Notamacropus eugenii: one gene and its partners. The protein of the gene in region 1 interacts with the protein of each later gene in a pairwise test. Links are inferred from orthologs where the notes say so. Each region holds a gene or a part of one and is shown in the gene's direction. Other genes may lie near its edges.

Evidence for each region.
Region 2: the proteins of CNKSR1 (region 1) and CYTH4 interact in binary tests that used the Homo sapiens proteins (3 or more experiments, as listed by UniProt). The two-hybrid records come from large-scale screens. The link is inferred for Notamacropus eugenii from reciprocal best matches to the Homo sapiens genes CNKSR1 and CYTH4.
Region 3: the proteins of CNKSR1 (region 1) and CYTH3 interact in binary tests that used the Homo sapiens proteins (3 or more experiments, as listed by UniProt). The two-hybrid records come from large-scale screens. The link is inferred for Notamacropus eugenii from reciprocal best matches to the Homo sapiens genes CNKSR1 and CYTH3.

Annotation. Positions count from the first base shown.
Region 1 is NC_092876.1:67,125,701-67,136,507, forward strand, and holds the start of CNKSR1 (connector enhancer of kinase suppressor of ras 1), read left to right. Parts: upstream 1-6,584; 5' UTR 6,585-6,675; coding exon 6,676-6,727; intron 6,728-10,807. Other genes in the region: ZNF593 (zinc finger protein 593), read left to right, coding at 289-485, 988-1,050, 1,285-1,426; putative transmembrane protein ZNF593OS, read right to left, coding at 2,037-2,183, 2,546-2,590. UniProt on the Homo sapiens protein: May function as an adapter protein or regulator of Ras signaling pathways.
Region 2 is NC_092874.1:294,397,731-294,408,183, forward strand, and holds the start of CYTH4 (cytohesin-4), read left to right. Parts: upstream 1-5,538; 5' UTR 5,539-5,685; coding exon 5,686-5,704; intron 5,705-10,453. UniProt on the Homo sapiens protein: Promotes guanine-nucleotide exchange on ARF1 and ARF5. Promotes the activation of ARF factors through replacement of GDP with GTP.
Region 3 is NC_092874.1:396,039,153-396,049,617, reverse strand, and holds the start of CYTH3 (cytohesin-3), read left to right. Parts: upstream 1-5,035; 5' UTR 5,036-5,289; coding exon 5,290-5,332; intron 5,333-10,465. UniProt on the Homo sapiens protein: Promotes guanine-nucleotide exchange on ARF1 and ARF6. Promotes the activation of ARF factors through replacement of GDP with GTP. Plays a role in the epithelial polarization.

The DNA of each region.
Region 1 (10,807 bases):
CGATTCAAGGCGAGGGCCTGGCACGCGGCGGGCTGACGGGGAGGCAGGACTGCGGGGCCCGGGGCTCCCTGAAGGCCTGCTCGCGCACAATCGGGGAAGGGAGGCTCCTCGGGAGGAGCTGGGGGTGGCGGGGCCCCGGGGCAGGGCGAGGCGCGGCTGGGGACCCTGCCCCCGGCGGTGCACCCGCCTGTCCGCCAGGGGGCGCTCGGGCCCAGAGTCCGTTAGGCCCGCCCCGTGACGTCACGAGCCGGCCCGGAAGTCGAGAGGCTGTCTTACCCAGCGGAGGCCATGGCCCGCTCTCGCCGCACGGGCGCGCACCGCGCGCACTCCCTGGCCCGTCAGCTGAAGGCCAAGCGGCGGCGGCCGGACCTGGACGAGATTCACCGGGACCTGCGGCCCGGCAGCGCCGCCCGCCGGCCCCAGCCTGACGCCGAGTCGGACCCCGACCTGCCCGGAGGCGGCCACCACCGCTGCCTAGCCTGCGCGTGAGTTCCGGGAGGGGCGGGGCGGGGGCGGGCCTTCCGGGGGCCGTGCTGGGGAGTGAGGGGGTGGGGCAGGGGGAGGGGGGGACCCAGGGAGTTCCGGCTGGGGAGGCTGGGAAGTGGGGACCTAGGGAGAGGGGGTTCATGGGGGGCTGGGAAGTGGGGACCTAGGGAGAGGGGGTTCATGGGGGCTGGGAAGTGGGGACCTAGGGAGAGGGGGTTCATGGGGGCTGGGAAGTGGGGAGCTAGGAGGTGCAGCCTAGGGGATGGGGAATTGGGGAGCTGAGGGCCAAAAGGGTTTTGGGGTTTGGTGTGGGTGGTTATTGAGGGAGGACCTGGAGCTTGGGGGATGGGAAGGGGTCAAACTGGGTGCTCCCTCAGGAAGGAGAAGCTGGAAGGTGAAAGGTCAGGTGTTGAGGCCAGGCTTTGTCTGGATGCTCTTCTCTGGAGGGTGGAGGGGAGGAAAAGGAGCCTCTACCCACATCTTACCTCTGTCCCCCTCCAGGAGATACTTCATTGATACTGCCAGCCTGAAGAATCATTTAAAGTCCAAAGATCACAAAAAAAGGTTCGAGGCTGGGCTGGCTCCCTCCAGCTGTTAAGGCCCATCTTACTCCCCTTCTCCTGGCCCTTCATTTCCTCTCCCCTTCCCCCTTCCCCTCTTTGCCCTCCCCCACAGCATTTCTTCTTTCTCTCTAGCCTCTAATCTCTTCCCTTGATCCCCTCTCTGATCTCCCCCTTCCTCATTTCTTCCCAATCTTGCCCTGACCCCTCTTTAACCCTGGCCCCTTTTTTCCTACAGGCTCAAGCAGCTGACAGTAGAACCCTACAGTCAGGAAGAAGCAGAGAGGGCAGCAGGCATGGGCTCTTATGTGCCCCCCAAGTTGTTGGCAGTGCCCACAGAGGTATCTACCGAGATATCGGATATGGAGGTGGCCAGCTGATGCTACCCAAGACCGAGGAAGCCACTGTGGGATGACCCTGCTAGGCTGGTCTGGCTGGACTGTACTGTTCCCCCAACACTCAGAGCAGAGTCTTCTTACTTTTCCCCAATAAAGGAGCTGAGCTGCTACATGTCTTCCATGTTTCTGATTTCCCCTGAATGCCAGGCTGGAGCTGATGCTTGTTCCCCATCTACATTCCCCTGGGAGCTCCTGTATCCCTACTGCTCAAGGTGTGCTTGCCCATGGGCTATCCCTGTGGTACTCTGCCACATGCTGAACCTTGGGATCAAGGGAATAAGAACCCTTCCCTCCCATTACTTTGCTTTGGACGAATGTCACCAGATGGAGCCCCAGTCATGGCATGTCTTCTGTGTCTGCACTTTGCAGTTTTCCAGGTTTATTCCATCCGGGGCTCCCACTTCTCCAGCCTAGGTAGGCATGGATGCTACGTGTACCTCATCCTCTTCCCCTTGACCTCCCAGCCTGTGGGGGCCATCATCCAATGGGGTGGTGGGAGGGGGGATGGTAGAAAGAAACAGGAAGAGTTCTTTCTCTGGATATTGGGTGAGGTGGATGCTGTCCCCCAGATTTTCAGGGGCTCCCTGTCCCATCATGGGGTCTTCGGGGACTTTCCTTGACCCGCCAGCTGCCGGACACTGTAGAAGGAGAGGCCTAGACCAACCACAGCCAGCATTGTGGCCAGGGCACCCATCAGTTGGTTGCGGGGCTCTGCCTCCAGCTCCCCAGTCACTTGCATCTGGGTAACAGGGTAAAAAGGGAGCAGCGTTGGGAGAGGGGAGGCAGCCAGGGAGTCCCTCGAGATCCCAGGGTGTTTCCTCTGACCATATGGATGCTGACAGGGAGGTTGAGAGGGTAGGGGGCTGGTGGGAGGTATCAGTAACCCCACCCCTTCTTGCTCAAACTCAGGAAGGGCTAGAGGGTGGCCTCCCCCCCAGGGACATTCCATCCCGATGCTCTCTCGCATCAGTGCTGCAGGGCTAGCATACGGGGCCCAGCTGCTCAGGCGGCATGCAACGTGCCTGACTGGCTCCTACTGTGGCGGATTGGGGGTAGAGGAGAAGGGAGTCTGGTCAGTTATGGGGTGGGGAGTGGGGTTACCTCTAGCATCCGAAAATATCCTGGGGTCAGTCGTCCAAAGCGCATGTTGGCCTAGGGCTGGGGGTGGCCGTCTGGTAAGGGCAGGAGGGGAATGAAAACCTGGTTGGCATTTCTAATGCCACTAAATAGAAATTGGGTCAGGGGGAGGGGGCAGGAATGCTTAGGGCTACATTCTTGCTATGTCCCCACCTCTTGCTCACATAGCACCCCTCCCCCCAACACGCACACGTACACACTCTCCTCTACTTTCTGCTCCTTGTTACTGGGTGCTTAGCTTCGTATCTTCCAGCCCCCAAACCTTCCTCCGCACCCCTATCCCCATGCCAGGAAAGCTCCTTTCATCTCCCCTAACCCAAAGGCATGGATGCCCAGAGAAGATGCTCACCTTCGGTTGCCTACCCACGACTCACAGGCAGCTGGGACAGCAGTGGGTCCTTTAAATCAGGTTCCCTCCCCTTACTGGGCCAGCCTGGGCGGCAGCTGTCAAGACAAATCAACATCAGGCTGGAATCAGGCCTTTGTGCCCACCCCATTTCCTGCCATGGAGGCGGGCACCTGAATACAAGGAGGAAGGAGGCCTCACACCAGCAGGGTATGTGTCATCTAGGGTAGGGGTGGGAGAAGTCGCTAATCCTGCCTGGACTGGTGTCCTGGACATTGTTTGGGTAGAGCAGTAGGACGTCCAAGCTCTCAAGACGCAGCTAGCATTGGTGCAGTGGAAGGAAGCGCAAGATTTGGAGTCAGAGGGCCCAGGTTCAAATTCCACTTTTGATACTATCTGTGTATGGCATAGACCCTCTCTGCCACCTCTGCTCCATGAAAAGGCTATGTCTCATCAGTGCCTTCACTTCCTCTTCTCCCATTCTTCTAAACCTGCACTCTGGCTTCTGACCTCACCATCATTCAACTAAAGCTGCTTGCTTCAAAGTGACCAGTAATCTTGCTGCATCAAATGGCCTTTTCTCACTCCCTTGTGCATCTTACCCTCTCCCCTGCTGCCTTTGATACTGGCGATCGCTTTCTTCTGGGCACTGTCTCCTCAAGGGTTTCGTGATACTGCTCTCTCCTGGTTCTGTGTCCAATGGCTCCTCAGTCTCCTTTGCTGGTTCCTCATTCTCATCATTCCCTCTAACTGTGGCTCTGTCCCGAGTCCTCTTTTCACTCCGTATTCTGACTTGGTGATCTCCTTAGTTCCCACGAATCACTATCTGTATAGAGCCAATTCCCAGATTTCCACACAGCTCTTGTCTTTGATGAGCCAACACCTTCTTGAGTATCTCACACTGGACGTCCCATATGCAGCTCAATCTCAACATCTCCAAAATGATTCTTTGTCTTTCCGCAAAAACCTCCCATTTTACATTTCCCTATCGGTACTGTAGGGACCACCATCATGTTCCCAGTCAGGAATCTGTGTCATTCTTTGTCCGTACCCTACAAGTATATCCCTTGAATACATCCCTTCCCCCCAGTCATATGACCATAACCATTGACTGAGTCCAGGCCCTCAGCACCTCTTGCCTGGACTCCTGCAACAGTCTTCAGATTGACTCCCAATCCATTCTCTCATCTCCTAACATTTTTCTAAGGCAAAGGTCTGACCATATTAGAACCCTACCCCACCAGTGAACTTCAGTGGCTCTCTGTTACTTCCAGGATCAAATATAAAGCCCCGTAACTTGGTCCATTCCTACCTTTCCAGATTTCTTACACCTTACTCTTCCCCCTCATACCCCCTCCCCCCACTATGAAGCAGGGGCTTAGTCATATCTCTTGAACTCTACTCCATCTCCCAACCCTTGGCCTTTGCATTGGCTGTGCCCCCCCCCCCAAACCTGGTATGTTCTGCCCCCTCACCTCTGCCTCTTAGTTTCTCTGGCTTTCATCAAGACTCAGCCCAAATCTCGCCTTCTCTCAGAGCCCTTTCCTGGTTCTCCTAACTGCTAATGCTGTTGTATACCCTTTCAGATTATGTCCCATCTGTTCTGTATATCTCTCTTATGTTGTCTCCCTCCTTAGAAGGTAAGTTACTTGAAAACTAGCACTGCAAGGTTAGTTTATTTTTTTATTTTTATTTTTTGCCTTTCTTTGCAATTCCAGCATTTGGTACAATTCCTGACACATAGCAAATGCCTGTTGGCCGACTTCTGGATGTTTAATTCAACCTCATTTTACAGAAGAGATAGCCCTGGAGAAGGGCATTTACTTGCTCATGGCCACTCAGGTCTGTTGACTCCAAATCATGATCTTCCTTCTATCACAGCCCCTCTCCCTTAATAAGTGTTAAACTAAATTCCTTTCTAACTAGCTTGGTCATTTTAGAGCAGCCCTAGCTTTGGAGAGCAGAGGAAACTCCCTTTTCAATCTAGGGGGAGATTATATAGTCTCATTTCTGTTGTGCTTTTAGTGCTAGAAAGCTGCTTCAAACACTCATCCGGTGCTTTCTCAGCTACAGAAACATACCCATTCTGTGAAGGAGGAAACTGGGGCTCCCAAAGGTGAGGCCCCTCACTTGCCAGGGGGCAGAGGTAGGACTAGATATGGCCCATGTCTTCTCACTGCTCACCTGACATTCTTTCAACAATTGGTTTGACTGATTGATCAACAATCCAAAAGCCTTTTGTTTTTGGACTAAGTGCCAGGGGAGGGAACAGTAGGGGCTCTTGAAAAACTTGGCTCTTTTAAGACTCAGCTCAAGTGCCCACTTCCTGAAAAGACAGTTTCCACTGCCCCCTGTTCCACTGTATATGAAATTCAGATGCCTGCAAGGGCTCTCAGAGACCCACTCCTCATTTATAGATGAAGTCCAGACAGTACACATGGGCTGTCAGAATCCAGTGCAATTTGAACCCAGGAGCTCAGGGCTCATTCCACTGTACCAATAACTGGTGTTTACTTCTGTGAGGTCATGTTTGTTGTACATCACCCTACTCAGGGAATTTTAGCCTTTTTGTGAGTCATGGATCTCTTTGTTATGCTGGAGAACCAGAACGTGTTAAAAAGCATAAACTCAGTTTCCCAGGATTACACAGGAAACCAGTTATTCTGAAATACACTTAATTTTTTTTTTTTTTAAATTTAAAGGAACTCCAGGTTATGAACCTCTGCGTTGGTAGAAAGTAAGGGGCTGTTTTCATTTTTGTCACAGTTTCTGCGGTTTAGGGACCATCTTTGTTTGCAGTAGACCTGTGATTTCCTTGGTGAGGGGAGCTTCCTCTTCTTTGCATTTTACAGGTCTTAGCCAGTTGCTTAGTGACCCTGGGTGTTGTGACTTCACAGTGTCACCCAGCCTGTGTGTCAGAGGTGACACTTGAATATAGGTTTTCCTGATTCCAAAGCCAGTCCTTCTCTGACCTGCCACATAGCAGGCATTCAGGGGATGCTTGTGGCTTGATTAATTGAGCTCCTGACCCCGACTGACCTTAGGAGGCTGGGGCTGGCCGGTTTTGGGGAGGGAGAGCCTGGAATCCCTCTCGCAGCCCTGTGGCACACCCACTGGGCCCTGGTTCCGGATTTGGTCTGGTCGGGTCTCCGTGTGGTGTGGCGTCTTTGGGAGTTAGGTGGGCGCCCCGTGGGCAGCCCGAGGTGGAGGTCAGCGCCTGCCTGCCACAGGCACCCCTCTAAGCCCCAGGGCCGAACCTTCCTCTTTGCGGACCCTCAATTTCCTCCCTCCTGGGGTTGGTGTGAGATCATGCGACGCTAGTAAGGGGTTCGGTAACCTGAAAGGGTGATCCTGGTGGGTCAGGACCCTATTGTGCCCCCCCAACTGCCCAGCAGCCCCCCCCCCCACTAAGGGAAGCGGGACACGTGTGCAGCAGGAGGGGTCCGGAGTCCACCCGCTCGGGAAGGCGCGGACCGGCTGCTGCGCCCCGACAGTCTCACCCAGCAGCGTCCGCCCCCCGAGGCTAGAGTTGGGAGTGGGGTGGGGCTCAGGAGGGGCGGGGCTCCCCGGGCTGACGGGCAGAGCGGCCGGGCCAATAGGTGCGCCGGGATGTTCACCTGGCCCGGCCACGTGAGCGCAGGTATGTGGCCGACTCCGCCCCCGGCTCGGCCCCGCCCGCCCCAAAGCCCAGGGAGGACTTCGGGTTTCGGGGGCGGAAATTTCCGGGCGGGTCGGTCTGGGATTCGCGATGGAGCCGGTGTCATCCTGGGGTCCTGGGTCGGTGGTAGCCTGGCTGAGAGGTGGGTAAGGATGGGGTGCCCTGGGGGCTCTACTTCGGCCGGTATCTTTGTGGGGGGAGGGAGGATCAGGGAGTGGGGGCGGGGTAGGGGAGGCTCTTGGTCTACACTAGCCTGAGCAGGGAAGGATTATTTCCACTGACCCTGGGGGTGCGTGCCTTGTCTACACTGCCCAAAAGTCCCGGAGGTGGGAAGCGGTGAAGCAGTGAGTCCGGGGACCCAGCTGGAGCTCCAACCGTCCGGGGTCCCTCCGGGGTGTGAATGACGTAAGGAGAAGCTCATCCTCAGCCCGGCTCGGAGGCAGGGGAATGGACGCATTGACTTCTCGGGGTCCTCCCAGTTTCCGAACTGTAGGCCCATCCCATTCCACACCCCTTCCCTTCTTAAAGAGGGAGCAAGACATTCTCCTAAGATGATCACCCATTTCGAGGGCGAACCCTGTGCAGATGGGCAGTGTAGGTATTTTTGTGCCCTTTTTTTCACAGATGAGGAAACCGAGGCTCTGAGAGGTTGGCACCACCCCAACTTCGGTCTCTGCCTCATTTCCTCCAAAACTTAGCTCCATGGCCCCCCTGAGAGGCCTGTCCTGATCCCCCCACACTTGGTAATAGCCCTGCCTCTCCTCTGGACCTGTTTATTTACCTGTGTTCTTGCGGTCCATCCCAGGGGAATGTAAACTCCCGGTAGGCAAAGACTTTTAGCAACTCGTAGGAGCTTAATCCGTGCTGTTGACATTCTGATAGGTTAAGTGACACCCTCAGGGCCATGTAGCAGGTGAATTCCCAGAATTCAGGCAGCCCCCATACTCTCCTTACTGCCCACCTCAGAGGGTTTACAGCCTCAGGGACTGAGGGCTCAGAGGAAGGAAGCTGAGCTATAGTCACAGCCTGTATAATATACAGATATAATCCTATCTCCTTTATCTTCAAAAGGCCGCTGACATCTGGAGGAGACTATCATTAGACCCATTTCTCAGCTGGAGAGACTGAGAAAGGAGGAAGTGACTAGCTCAGAGCCTGTGGGAGAAGAAGCAGGCAATTTGCCCACATCAGCTTTGACTGACACCACTCAGGCTGGAGTGGGCTGGACCTGGACTCCAAGTTCAAATCCGACCTTGGATACTAGCTGTGTGCCCCTTAGCAAGTCTGCCTCAGTTTCTCCAACTGTAAAATGGCAATAAATAATAGCACCTACTTTCCAGTGTTATTGGGAGGATAAAAATGAGATGTTTGGAAAGTGCCTTGGAGACTTTAATGCCCTATAAAAACCCTACCAGCCATTAGTGGCTGCTATTATTTAGGGTTAGACAGAAAGCTCCTAGAGCAGGGTAACCTTTTTTCATCAGTGTGGTGAAGCCAGACTGCCCCTTCTCAGAGTCTTGGTTTTAAATTCATAGGATTACAAAGGAAACAAATTATAATTGAAATAGAATTATCAAAAAATGAAAAGTTCATTGACCCCGGATTAAGAATCCCAGGACTGGTCTGTAGGGGAGATCCTGTAGGGGAGTCCCCAGTCTGAAAAGGAAGGTATACCAAAGAACTCTCCCAATTGTAGAGAGTTCTAGAAACCAGTACTGGGAAAAAGGGGAAGGTAGGTGAGAGCAGAAACCAGTCCGGGTGAATCAAGAAGGGCTTCCTGGAGGAGGAGAGCCAGGAACAAGTTTTGGGAAGGGCCACAGAAACAGCATTTATGCAGGCTTAGTGGTCATAAATTTGGAGCCAGAAAGGAAATTCCAGATTGTCTAGGCCAACCCTGTCATTTTATAAAGGAGGAAATTGTGGAGGGAAAAACTAACTTCCCTAACGTCACACAGGGACTCAAGCTACTGCTCTTTCAGTTCATGTGTTTCAACTAGCAAAGACTCGAGCACCATCTTGGAGAGGCTGAAGGGGGTGGGAGGGGAAGTGAACCCTCAGGAGACAAGTCAGGTAGATGGAGAAGCAGGTAGCAATAGGGACTTAACTGAGAAGATTAATCTAAGAGAAACATAGAATTTTATTTTATTTTCAGTGTTAGAAAAGAATTTAGAAACTGTGAGAAGAGCACTACCCCAAAAGACAGAGGGCCAGAATTTAAGCCCCCACTAGCGATGGAAGCAAGCTATATTTAAAGGCAGTGAGCTGATGGTTCAGTGGATAGAGATCTACAGCTGGAGTCAGGAAAACATGAGTTCTAATCCAACTTCAGGTACCTTCCTAGCTTAGTGACCCAGGCAAGTCATTTTTTCCTCAGTTTCCTCAACTGTAAAATGGGGATAGTACCTGCCTTGTAGGGTTGCTTGGCGTGGGGTAGGTGCTATATAAATTCTTCCTTCCATTCACTATCTATGAAGTTAATCACTTAACCTTCCTGGGCCTCAGTTTCCACATCTGCAAAATGAGAAAGTTGGACTAGATGACCCACCAGTTCATATGAACTATCTAATCCAGAGATGATTAACTTGGGGTCTGTGAATTTGTGTGTATGTGTGTTTTTAGATATTTTAATAACTAGATTTTACCACAGTTGGTTTCCTTTATATGCCTATGTATTTTATTTTATGTTTTAAAAAACTCATTGTTCTGAGAAGGGGTTCATAGGCTTCACCAGTCTACCCAAGGGGTCCATGGCCCCCTAACCCCCCAAAAAGGTTAAAAATCTCTATCTAGTTCAACCTTCATGTTTACAGAGAAGGAAATTGAGCCCCAGAGAGGGGAAGCAAGTTATATAATGTCACTCAGCAAGTTAGGAGAAAATCTGGAGCTCATAGTTCAGGGAGAGCCATTTATAGTAGATTTCAGAGTGTGTTTGTACATGTATTTATGTGTTTGTGTGTGTGTGTATTATATATATACATATATAGATGGAGAGATAGATGTAGATATGTATGTGTGTCGTTATGTGGGAGTGTGTGTGTGTGTGTGTGTGTGTGTATGTATGAGTGAGTAGGGAGGTTCAGCTCACTATGTGAAGAACCCAGGAGCCCTGATCCCCCAGCCCCATTAAGGGAGAGATGTGGAGAGTAATTCTGTGTTATCCCTCCCCTGGGACTCTGCAGAAAGACAGCATGGGGACTGAAGCGGGGAGCTGCTAACTGGACCCCACAACCCTTTGAGGAGGGATTTTTTATGGCATAATTTGCCTCAGATTCCTTAAAGAGTGAGGCTCATCTCTGTTATCATTCCCTTCCAAGTCTCTGGGATTCCTCCAGCAGTCCTGGCCTAAGCTACAGCCTAAAAGAAAATCTCTTCATCTAGTGTTGTGTTTAAATGTTTAACAACTGGCTGTCCAAAAAATCAAGTGCTCAGAACATGCCTTAAAGTTAAATTTTAATAATAATATTATATAACATTTGAATAATATGTTTATATTATGTAACATTTTAATAATGTATGTATTAACATGTTCTTTACTGTCTAGATGATAAAAAATAATAAAATAGAATAATTGGATAATATATAATACTAAAGTTTAAAATAAATAATAATTAAAAAAATAAACCCTGATTTGTAGCTTTTGCTGAAGTCTAAATGCTCACACTGAAAATTTAACAGCCAGCTCTGTCTCTTGGACACCTTTAGAAGGGGAGGTCAGAGAGGACTAACAGACTGACATTTTGGTAAACTTTTGACTGCTGTGAGCTTTGTATCTTAGTGTTCTTTCTAAGTGACCCTTTAATAAATATTTACAAAGCCCTTACTGTGCGCCAGGCACTGTGCTAAGTGATGGAGACCCAGAGATTACAATGGAATACTCTTGCCCCTCTGAGAGGAAACAAGTGTTATGAGTCGTGTCTGACCCTTTGAGGTTTTCCTGACAAAGATACTGAAGGGGTTTGTCATTTCTTTCTCCAGCTTGTTTTACAGATGAGGAAACTGAGGCAAACAAGGGTAAGGGACTTGCCCAGGGTCACACAGCTAGTCAGTGTCTGAGGGCGGATTTGAACTCAGACAGGTGAGTCTCCTTGACTCCAGGCCCAGAGCTCTGTCCACAGTGTCACTTAACTGCCATAATCACAATAGCCGTCATCATCATCATCACCAGTAGGTACTTACAAAATACAAGATAAATTGGGAGGTGGTGGGGCGGGGATAAAGAGGA
Region 2 (10,453 bases), on another chromosome or scaffold:
AACTGTAAAATGGTATTTATAACAGTACCTACTTCTTAGGGTTGTTGTGAGAATCGAGCGAGATAATAATTGTAAAGCACTTAGCACAGTGCCTGGTATGTAGTAATATAAGAATTCCTTTCTCCTTTCCTACAAACAAAAACAAGTCTATTGAAATAGTTATATTTTCTTAAGTTTACACACTCTACATTAAGAAGTCCTCATTTGGAGTATTGTGATTGTTTTTGGGAACCAGCTTTCAAAAAGGGCATTGATAAGCTAGACAGCCCAGGGAGGGTGATCAGTGTGGTGCAGAGCTTCAAGCCCATATGAGAATCAGTGGAAGGGAAGTGTTTGGCCTGAAGGAAAGAAATAAGGAAGACTTGACAGATGATTTTATATATTTGAAGGACTGTTGTTCTCTTTGGAATCACTCTAGGTCGAGGTAAGTCTGGAAACTGAGAGCTTGATAGAAGAGATCAAAAAGTTTAGGATCTGCCTAGCCTGGAACAGGGAAAATTTCTTTTAGTTTCATTTCTAATGACCTCACATTCTTATTTCTGAATTTGCATATTCTCTTTTTTTCCCTTGCAAATAAACCCTAGAAATGTGAACTTGTGGGCTGGCAGGATATGGTAGCTGGTGCAAGATTAGAAAGAGGGAAGTAGCGCTTTCTGTTGGGGTCATCTCCCCCTACTGGATTGCAAATGTATATTCTCTCATTAGAGAATGAACTGGTTTAGGTAAACTCTATATAAACCTCAGTGGAGTAGCGTTCTCGTACACATAAATACTTGTATTATGTTGTAGTGGCTAGAACCACATGCCAAGATAAGGTGGCCACAGCCTAGGCAGGTCATCCTTTAGTACCTATATCTGGCACAGATATCGTAAATGGACCAAGACCTTGACCCTGATTTGTGGTCTGGGGCTCAATTTTTTATTGAGTTAGTATGAATGTTGACTATGGAAGGCATTTTGGTTTCACTCTTGGATCTTAGTCATTTCCCAGGCTCTATCCGATGATAAACCAATACTGTACCAGTTACTTTTGAAAAGGCAAATAGCATCTATCTATTATCAGCCTTAACTGTTCTGCAAAGTGGTATCTGGACAGGAAATATTTTTGTATATTCTTTTACTTATTTATCATGCAGGCTTTAGTTGGTTCCCTTTCTCCTTTCAACAAGGAAGTGTTCATCTTCCTAAAACTGCCTTAGCATGGTGGACCCTGTGTTTTGTTAATATTGTGTGTGGTTTTGTTCAGATACCTCCTAAATTCATTGTCATCTACTTTTATATTCCAAAGACATAATTTAAGAAAGATGTTTCAAAGATGTTCCTTGCTCTGCACTGGCTCTTCTCATTGAACTTCGACTTGAGGATGCTGACCTCTTCTTGATATAAATAGCCACTACTTTTTCCTTGAAAATGGTGTGGTCAATGTGTCTTGCCTAAAGAAGATCCAGTTATTTGTGTTTCCTTCATATAGTGATTCCATTTGGCCTCCTGCTTTTTCTTTGTACTGGACCAGTAAGATGATTGGTGTAAGGAACTCCCAGTGAGCACCCCCCTCTCCCAATTGTAGTGAGGGCCTATAATACCTATAGACCAACAGCTTTAGAGTCAGAAGGGATCATAAAAGTTGACTAGTCTGCATTCCGCTTATTTTACAGATAAGGAAACATAGCTTCGAAGAGGTTAGAGATTTGTCCAGAGTCATATAGCCCACACAAGTCTCCGAAGTGGGATTCAAGTCAAGGTCTTCCTTGTTGTAAATAAACCCAGAACATTATCTATTATGCTGTGGTTTTTATGTGGAGATAGGGGCTCTCCCTCTTCCTCCTTCATACACACCTACCTGGTCCTCAGGCACGTCATAAAAAGCCCTTTCCTTTATCTAGCCACTAAGTTGTGATCTAAAGCCTATTTTCTACCACCCTAGGGAATGGAGAGGCCTCTGCTAGGAATACAAAAAAAGACCCAAATAATCTGTTTTTCCCCTCTGCAAAATGGTCATGATATGGTGTATAAATGGTTACAATAAGGACTGTGACCACTGGTTAGAGCTGATGGATTTGATGGGAAAGCTTTTTACATCCCTTGGTGGGGGAGGAAGGTGCCAAGGATCTCATTGTTGCAAGCAAATGGGGTCACCCTATGAATGAGCTAAGAGATAGCTTGTCTCCTCTGCCCTTCATTCTCAAGGAAAGACAAGGGTAGAGCTCAGCTGCAGGTTGATATTTATACAGAAATCCTGCTTCTAAGAAGAGAAATAGAAAAGAGGATGAGGGAGAGGGCTAGAGGAGAAGGAAAAATACAATTTCAGATAGATGATAGATGTACATACATACATTATATATGTGTGTATATACACACATTCAGAAACTCACAGTGCCTCAGATTATGTTCGTTAGTTACTGAAGAATGAAGAAAAATTTTTTTCCTATATTTGAACTTCCAAGTTAAATGGAAGTTTATTGTACTTGATGATAAAATGTCAGAGCTGGCAAGACTTGGCCTTGTCAATACAACGAAATGACAATTCTACCAAAGTTAGTTTTCAGATGTGATGTTATACCAATCAAATTATCAGAGGAATCTTTTATAGAACTCAATAAAATAAAAACAAAATTCATCTGGGGAAATAAAAAAAATCTAACACACCAAGGGAAGTAATGAAAAAGAGTTATAATGAAGGAGAAATAGCATTTCCAGACTTCAAAATTTATTATAAAGCAGCAATCATCAAAACCTCTTGGTACTGGTGAAAAATTAGAGAAATAAATCAATGGAAAAGACTAGACAAGGGAGAATCAGAAATAATGAGACTCAATAACCCAGTGTTTGATAAACCCCCAAACATAAATTACTTAGGAAAAAATTCCCCATTTGATAAGTACAGCTAGGGAAAATGAAAAGCAGCCTGGCAAAAATCAGTCTTAGACCAACGTCTTACACCATATTCCACAATAAATTCAAACCAGATACATGACTTGAATATAAAAGGTATTTACATTAAAAAAATTAGAAGAGAAACATATTTTGTATCGTTTACATCAATGGGCAGATGTATTCCTAACCAAAAAAGATGTTCAGTCAATGAAAAAAGATAAAATTGATCATTCTGATTACATAAAACCAAAAAGGTTCTGCACAAACAAAATTAATGTATCTATTCTAGATTAAGAAGTGAAGTGGTCAATTTGGGCAAGTTCTTTGATAAGGGTCTGGTAACCAAGATATATAGCTCTCAGAAATATATAAAAATAATAGCCAGTCCCCAGTAGATAAGTGATCAAAAGACATTAACAACTGGTTCTCAGAAGACAAATTTCCAGCTACTAGCAGCCGTATGAAAACCTACTATCACTAATAAGAAAAAGGTAAATCGAAACAACCCTAAAGTTACACCTATCACCCAGAAAATTGGTAAAGAAGATCAAAGATGGAAATAGTCAATGTTGGGGGGATTATGGGAATATAAACTCATTGTTGTTGGACCATTTTGGAAAACATTTTGAAATTATGCATTACTTATTAAAATATCCACGCACTTTAACTCCAAGATTCCACTACAAAGCACATCCCCCAAGGAGCTCATTGATAAAAAGCAAGTTCACATATACACCAAAATATTTATAGCAGCATTTTTTTGTGGTAGCAAAAGGCTAGAAACAAAGTACATGTCCACTGATTGGGAATGGCTAAACAAAATGTGGCAAGATAGTGTTTTTCCCCAGGTGTATTTGGGGGAGGATATGCTTTATAGCTACTGTTTTTCACTATGTCATCTTAGTAAATTGCCTTTGAAAAGAACTAATTGTGTGTGCTAGGTAACTGTTAATAGGAGCATCTGTGGAGTCATGTGATCACAGGATTATAGATTTAGAGCTGAAAGGAACTTCCCTTAGAGGCCATCAAGTACAACCTCCTAATTTTACAGATGAGGAAACTAAGACCCAGATAAGTTAAGTTTTGTGGGGTTTTTTTGGTTTTTTGAGGGGGAAGCATTCATGGTTAAGTGACTTGCCTAGGATCACAACAGCTTGTAAGTGTCTGAGGTCTGATTTGAACTCAACTCCTCCTGCCTCTAGGGCTGGTGCTCTCCGCTGCTCCACCTAGCTGCCTCCTCCCCTAGAAAGGTTAAGTCTTGAGGTATAGTGGTAGGAGTACAGACAGACCATCTGAATTACCTCTAGAACCTGAAATAGCAGCTGTTCTCTGAAAAACCAGTCTTTTGAATTCAAGGATGAGTTGAGGTTCACTTCAAAAAAAGAGCTTTGCACCGTAAAGTGCTTTCTTCACAGCAAACTATGGGGTAGGGGTATAAGTATTAGTATCCCTATTTGGCAAATGGAGAAATTGAGGCACAGGGGGGAAGTGACTTGCTCATGGTGACACAGTGAGAGAGAGGTAAGGCCAGAACTTAAGCACAGGTCTCCTTCCCTTATGCCTAGAAAGAGAAGATGAGGTGAATCCTTATCCTTTCAAAGACCACTGACTCACAGAGATCATAACCCTAGAATCACCTCTCATTGGTCCAGTATCCTGGTCTTTGGGCAGCCCTCCCGGGCAAAAATTTTTCTATCCTATCTTTAGATAAAAAATGGAAATCTTTATTGACCTGGTAGGAGAAGAGATTGGAAGCCAAGACATCCAAGAATCAATTAAAGGATTATCAAATGGATAGCCAGAATGTGGGCTTGGGGAAGGGAAGAGACAAGATTATTTTGATAGCTACAGGACTAGGAGTCCCTTCTCTCTAATTACACATTGTCCTCCCCTACTCCAAACCTCCCATCAATGGAACTTACACATCATGTGCAATATAAGCACTGCTTCCCCTGCTCCTACCTCCATCCTCCCATTATACTGGTTCCATTTTTCTTTGTGTTTCTTCCCAACCAACCTTCAATACTATTTTCTCCTCCAGTCTGTAGTTCCTTGGTTCCCTGTCCTCCTGTTCACCTCCTCACCCCTATCTTCACTTTTCTACCTTCCCCAATTGTCTTTCCAATATTCTCTTACTTTCTGTCCTTAAGAAATGTCCCAGAAATTGTCAGAACTCAGAGAACCTTATATTATAGCAAACAATGAAATGATAAAACATTATAACTGGTAGGGAATGTGTGCCATAGAATGTTAGAGTTTAGAAAATCAGAGCTGGGAAGAGCCTTAGAGAGTGGAATGTAGAAACTGGGTGGGGCCTCAGAACAGGGTAGATCCATGAGTATAGCATGCAGAATGTCTGAGCTGAAAGTGGCCTTAGAGAATTTCTTAAACTCTTGGAATTCTTTGCTTTCCCCCTTCACAGGCAGATCAACCACTGCTAGGTCACTTGGCCAGCATCAGTTTTCTCCTCCTGGGTGGGTCTCACTTCCTTCTTGGCTTCTTTCTCTCTATGGTGTACTGGTCAGAAATGGAAGGCCCCTGAGACTCTTGGGGGGCAGTTTTAGGAAGTATTAGAGTTAGAAACTCCACACAGCACACCCAAGTCTGAGGACTTCCTCTGTGGCTATGGTGAAGGGGAGGAGCCTGGAGCCCCAAGAAGACTAACATGTTCCACCCCAGATGACACATCTTCTGTGTCAGAGAGACATAGAGGCTACCATCACGGGGGACAGGGACAGCCAGGTCAAGCAGAGGCACAGGAGAAGGCAGAAGCAGGCAGGAGGGGATCTGCCCTCCTTCTGAGGGCTCAGCATGACTTTGTGTCACCCAGGTAAGTCTCCTGGGGCAGGGCAAATTCAGAAAAGTGGGTATTAGAGAAACTGAGGAGAAGGAAAACAGTGAAGAATAGAGCTGTGCTCTGGGCAAATCACTCAATTTCCTCATCACTAAAATAATTAAATCTCATGATCCTATAAAAGATCCTATAAAAGACAGAAGAATGTCCTACTCCAACCCAGAGCTGGGTAGCCAGGAGGAGCATTTCACTGTGAGAAATGGTCCATCCAACTTTTCTCTCCTCTACCTATGGGCACTTTATAGCCAGCTTAGCCCCAGAGGAAGAATCAGGAGCAATGAGGAGACAGACAGACTGCAATCTGATGTAAGAAAAAACTTCCTAAAACTCAGAGCTGGGCCAAAGGGAAATTTAGTGAGCTCCACATCACTGGGGATCTTCAAGGAGAGACAGAAGTACCACTTATGAGGGATATCACAGACGGGATTCCTGGGAAAGTTCATATTGAACCAGATCTCTCCAAAGAGATGCCTTCTACCACTGAGCTTCTGTGATTAGGAGTCATCACTGTGAGGGCAGGAAAGGAGGAAAGGGACCATGAATTCATTCTTTCATGTAGTCTTTAAATAGTTATTTAGGTCTTTATGTGTGCAAGATACTTGTCACCATTTGTTTTGAGCATAGTAGATAGCATAGAATTGAGAATTAGGAGAAGCCTTAGAACAGGGAACATCAGCTGGGAGGGACCTTAAAACCTTTTTCCTTCTTGAAGATATCCCAGAATTTCTTTGTCCTATGGATACAGGTGGTAGGGAGTTGGAAGACAGCAGGGAGTCTGGAAATCATCTTTTCCCTTTCAGGATGCAAGTTATGAATTGTGTTTGTGTGATTCAGTAACTACCTGGGCTCCCATCCCTAAGATGCTCTGATCTTAAAAAAAACAACATAATACTTTGGCAGGGCTTAAGGCCCAGGCCCCACCCTAAAGCAATGAGGTGGAACAAATGATATTGCTTCATTAAAAGAGAGTACAAATCCCTGTGCTCCTTTCCTCCTGGTAGGATGAACCTTACACTCCACTGGGGATGAAGAGAGGAAGTCTGGTTCAGTGTAAAGGGCATTGGATAAGGAATTAGAAAAGCTAAACCTGTCACTTACTCCCTTCTCAGTCCTGGATTTCGCTTGTACCTTGGGCCTCATTTTATAGATTAATTTGCATCCATAAAATGAACACATTGGCCTAGACCACTAGTATCTTCTTTCCCCAAAATGATCTTGTGTTTATTTTATATATGTATTTCTATGTTAATATATTGCTCCCCTATTTGAATGTAAGCTGCTTGACTATTTCCTTTTTGTCTTAGTATCCCCAGAAACTAATTCAGTGCCTGGTTCATAGTAAGCAATTTATAGGTGCTTGTTGATTGATCAATTATTTGATGGCTTCTGAAGTCTCTTTCATCTCTAGGTCCATGAGCCTTTGACCTGGGTTTGACTTACAGCTTGGCTATTTGTGCAACCTTAGACCAGTCCTTCTGCCTCTGAGCCTCAGTTTCCCTCATGAGCCTCAAGAGAGATTAGATCAGATTGTTCCTAGGGGCCCTCTTTAAATCTTATGACAGTAGTTGACCCATCTCAAAGGCATGTCTTATATAAACAAGTAGCTCAGCTTGGAGATGGGAGTAGGTTGTCCCTAAATCTCACTAATCTCACTAATACATAGGAAGTCTAGTCTGGAGGCTCTCTCAGGGCCACCTCATGGACAACTCTCTATAACCCAGGGTCAGTTCAGGACCCAGAACTTAAAAGTGGGCCACTGACCTATGTCATACAGTCCCTTAACCCATCTTCTTCCTGATAAAAAATTTCATTATGGTATCTAAAGGTGGAATGTCTGGTGGAAATGAGTCTCCATAGGTTGGTCTTGGCACACTTAAAATCCAGCTGGAGGCCTTTGATAGCTAGGTAAGACCTGCTAGAAGTGGCAGTCCACTAAGACAGTCTCTGAGGGTCCAGGATCCATCCACATCACAGACACACTGAAGGGAAAATTTCAGGGAAGAAATCTAATTCCTACAGTGGAAGAGCTCCCATTTCCTTCCCCCCACCCCAGGATTTCAGGATTTCAAGGGTGTTTTCATGGCAATAGCTTCCTGATGAAGGGGAAATAGGCATTCTTGCTTCCATGAGGAAACTGAGGTTCGAGGAGGGCCAGTGACCTGTGCAGAGGTAGACAACTAGTATGCAGTAGAATTAAAATTCAAACCCCTATCTTCTGACTCCAAATCCCACTTTCACTTTTACAAATCCCACTTCCACCTATTCCTAGATACTCAGCCAATGAGCAAGTTGTTCTGGGACTCTGTTTCCTCATCTGTCAAACATAAAGGTTAGACTATATTATCTCTTAAGTCTCTTTTCTTCTAAATCTACGATCCTGTAATAATCGGTAAAGTAAAAGCCTAAGGATATCTTCAAGACCCTCTTCATTCCCCTTAGGTTTAAAAAGTATGCACTGATTTCTTCATTTTGTATCAAGGAAACTGAGATCTAGAGAGGTTATTTGATTCAAGGTCATTTGATTCAAGGTCACACAGCTAGCGAGCCCCAGACAAGGCATTCATACCTAGGTCTCTGGATTCCAAATCCATCATTGTTTTCATTCTCCTCAGCTGACTGCCTTCTTATCATCTCTCAAAAATTTCTGGGGCTCAGCCTCCCTTCCCCCTACTAACAGGAAGGTAAGGGGATCCGCTGGTGAGATAGACAACCCTACCACAGAGAATTGTTTAGAAGTGACCTAAAAGGAGCCTGGCGCTGGGCGGTAAGCGAAGCTAGCTCCACCAAGCAGCCCAGACCTGGCGAGTAGAGGAAGCCGCTGGTTGGTGTGAGCGAGTGGTGTACACCCACAAACCAGGCAGGTTTGCTCAGTGAGCAGCTGCCTCTGCTTGCTGAGAGACTGCCTCATTTTCCAGTCCCCCGCCCCTCCAGGGTCCTGCTCCTCTGGAAACATCTGCCCCCTCTCGGGGGCATCACCCCGCCCATGGGGTTATGAGCGTCTCTGTCCGGGAAAGGAGAAGTGACTCCAGCTGTCCTGAAAGCTGGTCTTGCACACTAAATGATTTCTAAAAATATTGATGGGAAAGAGGAAGGAAAAAAACGGAAGCAGTTTCAAGGACTGGACGCCTGGAGCGCCCGGATCGCTAGGGTGGTGCTGACACCGAAGATGACAATGACAGCTGGGGAGACTGAATGAATGATAACTATGCAAATGAGCTAAGCACTATATCCACCACCCCCATTTTTCAGATGAGGAAAGTGAGGCTCAGAGAGGCGAAATAACTTGGCCACCATTGCTCAGACGATAAGTATCAGAAGCTGGATTTGAAAACTAACTCTCACCCAGCACTTTATCATGTTCAAGTCAACAAGACTTTCTTTCAGCTCCTACTATGTGATGGGCACTGTGCCAAGAACAAGGGATAGCCCAAGGAACTAGTAGTCTAGAATTGCCACTTACCTGGCAAAACTCAAAGGACCCTCTGATATTTAGGAGCTGGGTGTTTCTCTGAGCCTCAGATTCTAATCTGTAAAGTAGGGTTAATAATCCATGACCTCCCAAGGCTGTCAGGGGGAAAGTATTTGGCAAAGCACTATCCAAACTCAAGTGATCCTGATAATGCCCTCTCTGCCTCTCTTCTCCTTTCTCAGCACTAAGGGAAGCCCAGAGTTTATTTTGAGTTTTGTTTTGGGGTTTTTTGAGTGTGGATTACTTGCATTGAATAACGATAGCTAGCATCTATAGAGACCTGTAAGGTGTACAAAGAACCTTCTAGGCATTATCTCCTCACTTTGAACCACATGAAGCATGTCGAGCAAGAATTATTTCCCCCATTTTATAGAGAAGAAAGCTGAGGTTAAGGAGCCTGTCCAGGGCTACATCTTTATGAAATGTCATAGGCAGGATTAACACCCACATCCTGTCCTACACCAAGCTCAGTGCTCTATCCTGCATGTTAAGCTGCTTCACAGAGGGACAAGATAAAGCTGCAAATGCATCCAAATTTGTACAGCCCTTTATTGTTCAGTTGGACAGTTCAGACGACAGTTGGCACAATGGGGAGATCACTGGATCTGGAGTCAGGAAGCGATAGATTTAAATCTCAATCTGCGTGTCCCTGGACAAGTCACTGAGCCTCTAAGCTCCAGTTTCCTCAGTCAAGGTAGAGGAAGGATGCCTAGTGGATATAGAGCTGACCTTGGACTCTAGAAACAATGGGGGCGACTAGAAACAGACTTCTTTGGGCATATTGACTTAGAAAACCATAAATTAACATTATCCATGTTGCATTGTACTTTTATTAATTTTGTTAAATGTTGCAGTGAGCATCTGACATCACTGCAGAAGACCTGGGTTCAATTCCCACGAATGATCTATGCTAGCTGTATGACCCTGGGCAAGCCTCTTAACTTCCTCAAGCCCCAAACAACCCTCTGGGAGCCTTTTTTTTGGGGGGGGGCGTGCTAATCTTCATTGTTGAAAGAGAAAGTTCCCAACCAGCTCCCTAGATGGATGGAATGACAAGTCTGGTCAAAGCAAAAACCATGCGGTATGATAATAGCACTTATCTCACATTGAGAACATCCAGTGGGATTATGTATAAGAAAACTGAGATTCTGAAATATGCCCATGGTCACACAACTAGGAGATGCTGGAACCAACTCTAGGATCAGCTGCACTATGCTACCTCCACAGCAAGCTCACAGGTCTTTATTTTGTCCATG
Region 3 (10,465 bases), on another chromosome or scaffold:
TTTGCATTATTGTAGTAACCCCCAAATTATATATATATAGATATATATATAATAGATATATCTATATGTAATAGATATATATAAATGGATATATCTATATATAAATAGATACATATATATCTCTATTTCAAAATCCTCAGTCTGTCATTTGAAGTCTTTCATAATCAGTCTTATTTCTTATTATTCCCTTTCATGTACTTTCCCTTCCAGTTTAACTGGACTAAAAGCAATATATTATAATTTTTTTCCATTCAATTTTATTTTATTTTCAGGTCCAGATTCTCTCTCTCCTTCTCCTTCCCATCGAGAAGGCAAGAAATATGGAACCCATTACAAATATGAGTCATGCAAAACATAGTTCCTCATTAGCCATATTCTGGGAAAAAACACAAGAAAAAATGAAAAATATGCTTCAGTCTTCACTCTGAGCTCACAATATATTATAATTTATAATAACTCACACTTGTATAGTGTTTTAAGTATTGCAAAGTGCATTTCTTAGAACAACCCTGGGAAATAGGTAGATTCATAGTATAATCTCCATTTTGATAATAAGGAAGCTAAAACAGAGAGAAGTGACTTGTCCAAGGTCATAAAGCTAGTGAACCACATGGTACTGGATTTTTTTTCATCTTCACACATGTTGAGTATCAATGGTCAAGCAATGTCAAATTGTTTGAAATGAGATAATCATAGGCTTGCTATAAATATAATGATCAAAATTCCACAATTCAAAGATGATTGACTTACAAAGTTTGAGGTAATCCAAGCCTGATGATCGTAGTCCAAGTAGTCTCAGCACCTGGATAGAAAGTTGATATTAGAATAATTTATATTTTCATGGTGTTTAGGCTTAGAGCACTTGACGTAAAATTCCTAGTTCATTTACATTTCTCAGTTAAATGTGCTGCCGAGATAAGCAATTTTCTGAATCGTACAGTAGTGTCGTTATTTTGTACGTTCTAAGATGGTAGTAATTTGCTCTAGGAAGGTCATGCAGTGGTCTCTGTTAGAGTTAGAACTTGAAACCTAAGTCTTCATTCCTTCTTTTCTAACAACTTTTACATCCTATATTGAATATTTGCTGCTATATGCAGGAGTTATGTAGTAAAGGAATCTCTCAGCCCCCAAATAAGTTTCTGAGCACATACAATTACTTTGGGGGAAGAGAAAAGTCTCTTACCTTCTTCCTACTAGATACAGGCTTATATGTATATTATTGGCACCAGGCCAGTCAGTGACAGTTGTAGTTACTGTTATACTATCAGTAGCTAGAGTGATAATTTCCCCCCAAACCTACCCCTCCTTCAAACTTCCCCATTTCTGTTGATAGCACTGTCATATTTTCAGTTACTCAGGTTTGAAACCTTGGAGTCATTCTTGATTCTTCTGTATTCTTCGTCCATCACATCAGTCAATGGTAGTTTTGTTCAATCTTCCTCCACAACATCTCTGACATTTCCTACAACGTTACATCCTCTTCTCAACTCACACACCTACTACATTAATTCAGGCTCTTTAAAATTTCATTCTTACCATTATAATTTTCTTCTGCATTGTTGTAATAACCCCCAAATTTCATATGTATATATATATGTACATATATAATACAAAATCATCAATCTATCATTTGAAGGCTTTCATAATGTGACTCTCACTTAGATTCTCAGTCTTATTTCATATTATTCCCCTTCAGGTACTCCTCCTTCCAGTTTAACTTCTCCTCCCCACCCCTACCCCCAGGCTGATCCATCCAAAGATGTTTCATGTCTTTACCTTTGCACACAAGGTCCTCCATGTCTGGAATGTTTTATTCCCTTCTCATCTCTACCTGGTAAATCCCTAGCTTCCTTTGAAATGTAGCTTACTTACTTACTTCTGTATCCCCCTCAGTTATGTACATGTTCTCTTGAAATTATTTATATTACTTGGTGTATAATTGGTGTTGATTTTTGCACTTGTTGTATCCTCCCAAGTGAATGTAGTCTGCTTGAGGACTTTTTTGTTTGTTGTGGTTGGGTTTGTGTGTGTGTGTGTGTGTGTGTGTGTGTCTCCAATGCCTGACACATAGCAGGTATGTAACAAGTGTTAGTAGAATTGAATTAACAACTCAACTAACTAGGGATAAAGGACACACAAATTCTCAGAGCTGCTGGATGTTGATTCAACCCAAGAAGATCCTAGGCAGCAACCATTCAAAGGATGCAGAATGCTAATTGCTGCTTCAGAAGTGACACAGCAACAGTTGGCATTACAGAAACCTAAAACTACTGTTTCTTGTCTTCCTTACTGTCTTGTGGTTATTATGGCCCTGGCTGCATCAGCTCCAAGATCTGTTAAAGCAGAGTGATCTGCTTAGCTTTAGGGGCCCCCAAATTCTAGATGGATAATTCTTAAAAGTTATTCTTATTCTTATTAGTAAGAGCTGAAATGTAGCACTTCACATACTTGACTGATATTTTTCCACCATCATTTGATCCTCACAACAACCTTGTAAAGCAGGTAGTGTCAATATGGTTGTGCGGTCCTTTTTCAGTGCTATCTGACTCTGTGACTCCATTTGGGGTTTTCTTGGCAGATATACTGGAGTGGTTTGCCATTTCCTTCTCCATTTCATTTTACCACTGAGGAAGCTGAGGCAAACAGAATCAAGTGACCTGCTCATGGTCATGCAGCTAGTAAGTGTCTGAAGCCAGTTTTACACTCAGAAACCGGGTCTTCTTGACTTCAGGACTGCCACTCTATTCATTGAGCCATTTAACTGCCCTAATATTGTATTATTATGCACATTTTGGCAGCCGAGACTCATGGTTTCATTAGTTTAGGGACACCTTCTTCAATCCTGACCCCTCAAAAAGCACCCTAAAAATAAAAACATAACAAACGACGACAACGTAAGTTGGCCAATCATCTGTAACTTACAGTTTGAGAGACTGAAGGCAAAAGAGCTTTTCTTTTAATTGCTTTTCCCAAAGTCACAGAGGTTGAATGAGTGACAGACCTTAAACTCAGGTGGTCCGGATTGTCTACATGTTGCCTTTCATTCCTACTTTTCAGATGAGAAAACAGGTCTCACTAAGTGAATTGACTTAAGATCATAGCTTAACACACTCCTTTCCAGGTATTTTGAATCTAGGTCCAGTACTCTTTCCACCATCACACTCTCTTGAAAACACTTTTATATGGATTAATCTTGGAAAATTTTGTTAAATGTGAATACAATTCCAATAAAAGGATCCTATGACATAAATGATTCATTGTTGTCTAATTGCTAAACCTAAGGGTTTTAGTTTATAGAACATTATTTTAGATATAATTTTTAAAATCTTAGTTCACGTAACCAACTTTATGGAAAATGAATAGGAAGGACATACTTTTACAATGAACATTGCAGAAAGAACAAACATGTATGGCAGAAAAGATGAAGCATTGGGATAAATCTATGCTTCAGACCACAGCTAATATCCTACATGAAATTGAATTGAGGCCTTAGACTAATCTCTGCCATAAATCCGTTGCACAGCTGGTAGTGTTTTTTAAGAGGAGAAGTTGTAAAGTTACAACAGATCAGAATGATGTTGACTATTTTCTCTGGGGTATGCTCTCCCTGTGTGCTCCCAGTTCAATTTGCTCATAGCCTAGATGCTAATACTCTATTAGACTAGGCTAATTTAATTTTTTTGATCAGTGGGCAAAGGGGAAATCAATTTCCTTTTTATCTAAAAGAAAGCAGAAAAGCTAAGAATTATTTTAAAGTCAGATTAGGAATGATGTAGGTCCAGCCAATAACCAGCTGGGCGTCTTTGAGGCACCTTTCTGGGGCTGTGCTTTTTTCCTTTGAGATGTTAGAGACCCTTCTCACTCTATGACAAAGACAAGTGGTTGAGATAAAAGTACTGGTTCTGAATTCTTGGGCCAGGCCAGATAGGCAGACCCTGTGCTCTATGAACTGCAGTACAAATGGGGAGGGGGGTGGAATGGCCTCCACAATTTACACATATTATTATCCCTCCACAGACCACCACCTCTCCCAGGAGCTAGGGAACATAATGACATTCAGAAAGGTTGTCTTATTTGTTTTTCTTTTTAAGGTTGTTCAAATGAAATTGTCCAAGGGGAAGGAAACATGGTTGCATTTTAGAGTTTTTAGTGCGGCCAGAGCCCTTGGAGACGAGCTGGTCTGCGCTCCCTGACTTCACCAGGTTGAGGTGGAAGGCCAAGAGGGATTTAAATATCCCACTCAAGGTCACAGAACTCGTGCCAGCCCCTGGCACCAGCCCCCAAGGGTATCACTCCTCGCAGTGCCCGTTCCAGCACGTCTCCGGCCTTCGGCAGGACACAATTTATTCACGTTGATTAACACACCCACCGAACGCTCCTTAGGAAGCTTTCCATTCGCCCCGATCTAAAGTCACTTCGGAAAGGAGAGGTTCGAGGGGTGCCACCAACGGGCAGGCGGTGCGGAGGAGAGGGCACGCTCGGGGTACACGCCGGCCGTTCGGGGGCCTCTGGCCAAAGGGCTAAATCAGCCGTTCTGGAGGCGCGGGGGCCGTCCGGGCGAATGCCCGCCAGAGTGCCCCGCAGACCTGTCTGTCCGCCTCCACCTTCTCCCCGCGGTCCCGGCGGGCAGGCCGGGAGCGGGGCGCGGCTCGGTCCCGCCGGGCCGGGGTAGGCTGTGTCGCTCCCGTCGCGATGGGGCTGGGACGGAGGCGCGGCTCTGGTCACGGACAGGCCGGGAAAGAAAGAGGCCTCGACGCCTTCGGCGCAGGGCTGAGACCCGAGGCGCCGCTCCTGTCACAGCGGGGCCGACAAGGAAGGCGATGCTCTCGTCGCCACGGCTCCGCGGCCGGCCTGTTCCGTGGGGGTTGTCAGAAAATGTAGGGTTGGGGCTGGGGCCCGGCCCCACGCCCCAGGGCCCCTCCCGGGATCCTCGCCAGCACCAGGCCCGGCCCCGCGGCCGCCTCCTGTCACCCGTCCCAGGGCGGGCCGGGCCGGCCGCGGTCACGTGACGATGGCGGCGGCGAGGGGCGGAGGGAGACGGGGCGGAGGGAGACGGGGCGGGGCCGGCGGCGGCCGCGGGGAGAGTCGTCGTCGCCGGCTGCGCTCGGAGGAGCCTAGAGTCGGGGACCCCGGAGCCTGGAGCCAGGAGCCGGGAGCCTCGAGCTAGGCGCTGCCCGGAGCCGGCGGCTCGCTGCCTGGAGCTGCTCCCAGCCTGGCCTTCAGCCCCGCGTCTTCCCGCGACGCGCCCTCCGGGGGATCGGGCTCCCTGGAAGCTGTTGTAGCCCCAAGATGGATGAAGAAGGAGGAGGCGGCGGCGGCGGCGGAGGCAGCGGTGAGTGCCCGGGCGCTGCCCCGAGCCCGGCGGCGGAGCGTCGGCCGCGGGGGACCCCCGGAGAGGGGACCGAGGCTAGGGACCGAGGGGACGAGGGACGGGGACCAAGAGGCGAGCACTGAGGGCACCGGGGGCGAGACCCGAGGGACGGGGACCGAGCCCAGGTGGGAAGGCATTGGGGGACCGCAGGGACGGGGAGCTGGACCCTGGGGGGACGGAGCCGGAGGGCTCGGGAGGTGGGGGGCGAGGAGCAGAAGAGGGGTTCCGGAGGCTGCGGGGACTGTAGGGCGCAGGAGAGACCTGGGAAGTCTCGGGAAGGAGGGCAGGGGGCTGGAGCAGAGGGGCTGGGGAGGTGAGACGGGGCGGGGGCCGCTGGAGAAGGGGAAGGTAGACAGGGAAGGAGGGGGGGCCGGAACAGAGCAACCCCGCCAGGCTGGAGGGGCTGGGACACAAGGGGGAGCGGGGGGTCTGCGCCCCGAGGGGATGGGGACGGGGAGCCGGGGTGCTCGGGGACCTCCGGGACGCCTCGGAGGGACTCGAGCAACCGCCCGACGAGGACCGGGACCGATCCGGGCTGTGAGAGGGGGGCCAGGGCGGGCTGGGCTCGGGGGGATTGTGGCTAACATTGGTTTGGGACGGAGACTGCAGAGGGAAAATCGCATTTGTTCATCTGTCCGGGGAGAAGCTCAGCCTTAATCCCTCCTGTTTCCCACGAAAAATTTCTTATTTCTGTTTGTTAGAGGATCCTTTTCCTTTCCTTTCCCAAGACTAGGAAGGCAGGGTGGGGCCTGTCAAGCTCCGAGGGACATAATATAAGTTGGAGGCAGTACCGTAGAAGTTTTTATATACTCTTATTTTTTTTTTTTTACTCCAAGGGAAGATGAAATGAAGGAAAAATAGGAAAACACTGGCTTTGTTGTCCAGAGCTTTGAGTCATTAAAACTGCTTAAGCTAACAACTGCGAGAGGAGATTTTATTGACAGGGGTCAACAGTATTGCTTATTTGTTGAGAACTTGACGTGTATAAAAAAGGGAGTGTTTCATAGAAAAGAGAAAATAAATCATTTCTGCTAAGGAGTCTGTTATGAGCTGCAGCAGACAGGAGAGGTAGAAAGCAAGGCAAGGGAACAGTAAGTTTTGGCTTCTGTCTTATATTAGGAAAGTAGGTCTGTTGTACTTAGTGGGCATGGTCTGAGTGATTTCTGTGTCTTGTCTTATTGGGAGAATGCCTTAAATTCTCCTTTTTAATATTTGCTGGAAGCTGTATGTTTGTCGTAAATAAAATTCAAAACATTTTGTCTTATCTCTTAAATAATAGTGATGAAGTATAGTCATAGTGACATTTATCATTTAATTAAATTGGTATTGTCTAAATTGTATGAAGTTGATTATCTGAACAACTTTGATTTTAAAGAATTGTTGTACATGTTATATCCTTTATTACAGAAGATAGCTTCGAAAGGAAAGAAAAGCAGATTTGCAATTTAGGATTCTTCAAAGTATGACTCTTCATTTTTTCATATTTTCAACGAAATTGTCTTCCGCTTCCCACCCCCTACCTCCATACTGCATTGTCAGCATCCCTGGAGCTTAGGAAGCTTGTTTTCTGATACTGATCATGGCTGCTTAGCTGTTGTCAGTATAAATAATCAGCAGTGGTGCTTTAGAATGAGATGGTTAATCAAGGTGCTTTCAGGAATTTACAATATAGAGGAAATGTGTTTGCTGAAGGAAGTAATGTTGTCATTATGCTGAGAAATAGTTGACATAAGCTATAGGAGTTCAAGTACATGCAATTAAAGCCAGGGACAACTTTGTGACACCAAGTGGGTGCATTGTTTATAAAAGTTCTCTAGTGAGGAAAAAATCTAGTTGAAAATCCTTCAATAGCCAAGCTGCCTATAGGTTTTTTTTGGGGGGGGGATCATTCTTGGGGATAATCATGCAGCTTGTAACTGTCAGAAGCAGGAAGTATACCCAGGTTTTCCTGACTCCAAGTCGGGTCCTTTATCTACCATTCTATATTGCCTCTCAGCTGTTGAATGCTAAAACAAAATGTGATGTTAAATGTGTACTTTGAAGCGTTGAAGGCATTTGGAATGTCTTAAAGATGTTGTTGGATACAATTCAATAACCTTTTTTTTTTTTTTTATGGACAATGTAGTGTAGTGGGGAAAACAATGAACTTGGGAGTTTGGAGATGGAGATGCAGATTTTTGGCTCTGTCAGCTCCTATGTGACTGGGCAGATCAGTCCGTCAAAGCTTCAGTTTCCTCAACTGTAAAATGAGGGGTTTAAACTATCTGATATCTGTAGTCCCTTCCTTCTCTAACATTCTGTGATTCTGATTTGTTTCATTAAAAGTTTATTTTCCATGCTGTGCTGTGGAAGGCCCTTATGTCTTGTCTTTGATTCAGTGAAACTGGCCTCCTTGTTCTTCAAACATGACACTTCATCTCCCAACTCCAGGTATTTTCACTTACTGTCTGTCTCCCCATGCCTGGAATGCTCTCCCTCTTCATCTGCACTTACTAACTTCTGGTTTCCTTTGAATCCCAGCTAAAATCTTACCTTCTCCAGGAAGCCTTTCCATTAATGCTAATGTTTTTTCTCTAGTGCTTATTTCTGATTTATCCTGTATATATAGCTTGTTTGTACATAGCTGTTTGCATTTTGTCTCTTGAGTTAAACTCCGAGGTCTTGGATAGCAAAGAGTGCCTTTGCCTTTCTTGTATCTTCGGTACTTAGCACAGGGTTTGGAACATAGCAGCTGCTTGATAGATCTTTATTGACTGACGGGATCATAATTATATGGTGGCCACACTATAAATTAAATATGCTTACATTTAACTTCTGCACATGCCCATTTTTAAAAGTTAGTTCGCCTTCAAGTCGGTTCTTGACACAGTTATTAATGTATATCCAGGAGTGGATTTTTCTAATGATTTTCTTTTAAAAAAATCATGTTTTCTTTAAGTGGCATGTCATCATCAGAGATGATGATTAATTAAAATAGCCCACCTTGAATTTTTCCCAAGGAAGGTCAGTTTTATTCCTGTTTAACGGATGAGTTAATTTAGCTGGTCATAGTCATAGTCGTGGCAAACTAAGGAAGAGAACTTAAAAAATATTCATTGATAATGATGCTTAGGCTAAAGGTCCTTGAAAATTGAACAGACTTGATACTTTTGTAATTCAGCAAACCTTGAAGTTTGTACATTTACTGTCTTTTTCTCCTAAAAGATAATCAGAGAGATGAGGTTGATGTATATAGTAATTGAAAGAAGAATTAAGCAATTAGAAGAGGTAATGACTAGGGCACCAAAATTGTAAAGACAAATCACTCTATATATGTGGTATGTAACTTTTGAAATTTTCAATTCCATAAAAGCTTTGTTGATTTTCAGATCCATATTGTTTCACAGTTGTTTTTCAGAAATTATCCTTAAACTATAGTTCTGTATGACCAAATTGCCAACCATGTTCTGTTAATTGAAAAAGTGTGACAGAAAAATAACATATGGCTAAGATATAAATGTGTGTATGTATAGTTCATTTTTCAATCTTCAGAGGAAGTTGTGAGCAAAAATGAATTATATAATTCTTTACTTCTTTTAAGTTCTTAAAAAATGGACTCTATATTTGTTTTTAGTTCTTAGTGTTTGCATAGAACAGCTTTTCTAGACTATATAATTTGAATCTTAACCTTTGGTTGAATTCTTTTGTTATTGTATTTGTTTTTGCGGAGTTGATCCAGGAAAAGTATTAAGTGATTTGTTTCTTTTCTTTTTTCTTTTTTTTCCAATTTCTTTGAAATTAGTTGAGCACTTAAAATAGCTTTCATTTTGAATTGTGGTTACAGAATTTTGATATTAACTTTAATATTTAATTGATGATGAATAATTAAATAGGAGGCAATTTTGTGTTTTTGGCAGCTAATATACAGAAGGTAAACCGGCTTAATGGCGTAGCATGGATAAGGTCAGAAATAATTTATGATAGACTAGAGATAAAGTATGTTAATTTTACTTATAATTTTCCTAATATAATTTTTTTTGGGTAACTGGGTTTATTTAGAAAAAAGCTATTGTCAAAGCATAACTTTTAAGGATCATGATTCTTTATTTGTAATCTAGAAATTATGAAGCTTTTGAGGGAAAGTAAAAGGAAAATGAGAATAAATACTAAGAACTTGAAATATTAAAAGATATTAAATATTTTGAGATGATGGGAAAATTGTGAATAATCTAAATAAATACAAAGGCATGTATGTTCCTTAAGGTTTATAAAGTACTTTTATCTAAGTAATTTCATCTGACTTCTACAACAACCAGATGAGGTACATGCTATTATCATTCTCATTTTACAGATGAGTAAACAGAAGTTGAGAGAGGTTAAGTAACCTGCCTAGGGTTGTACAGCTACTAAGTATGGGAAGGGAGATTTATTCTCAAACCTTCCTAATTGCAAATCCACTGAACTAACTGCTTTAAAAAGGAGAGGGAAAATATATGATTTTTCAACCTGAGACAGTTTTGATGTTAGTCAACTATAAGTTTGTCATATTTGTAATTATTGATTGCTCTTATACTGATAAGAGACATGTTGTATTTTGAATTTGGACTGAATAGGAATCATACTTCAGTAGGTACTTAGGTTAATATTAGTTATTGGAAAAGGCTGTCACTTGTTTCAGTTAAGGTGCTTCAGAAGACGGTGGAATTTACCTTTTAAAAGTCTTGACATGAAATTCAGTGCTTTATCCATTAAACTAAGTGAATTATTTCTAAATGTTTGGCTAATTGATTCAGTTTTTGAGTTTTCATATGTATTTGTCATCCTGCAAGACAGAGCCTTACTCCACCTTTAAAATTGGGTTCCATGGGAAAATATAACACTGCATTTATTTTGGACAGCAGCACTTCCTTTTTCTGTGGACAGCTACATTTAAAACACATGGTCTTTGAGTGGAATCTGTGGTCCTCTGAGAATTGTCTGAAGAAGGAAATGGGTTGACCTATTTGGTTGCTACAAAATAAAAACAATCTTGTTTTCATTTTTGGTGGACATCTGGGATGCATTTATTATATTACATTCTAGAGGTTCTTTAAAACCATAATTTGATAATAATGG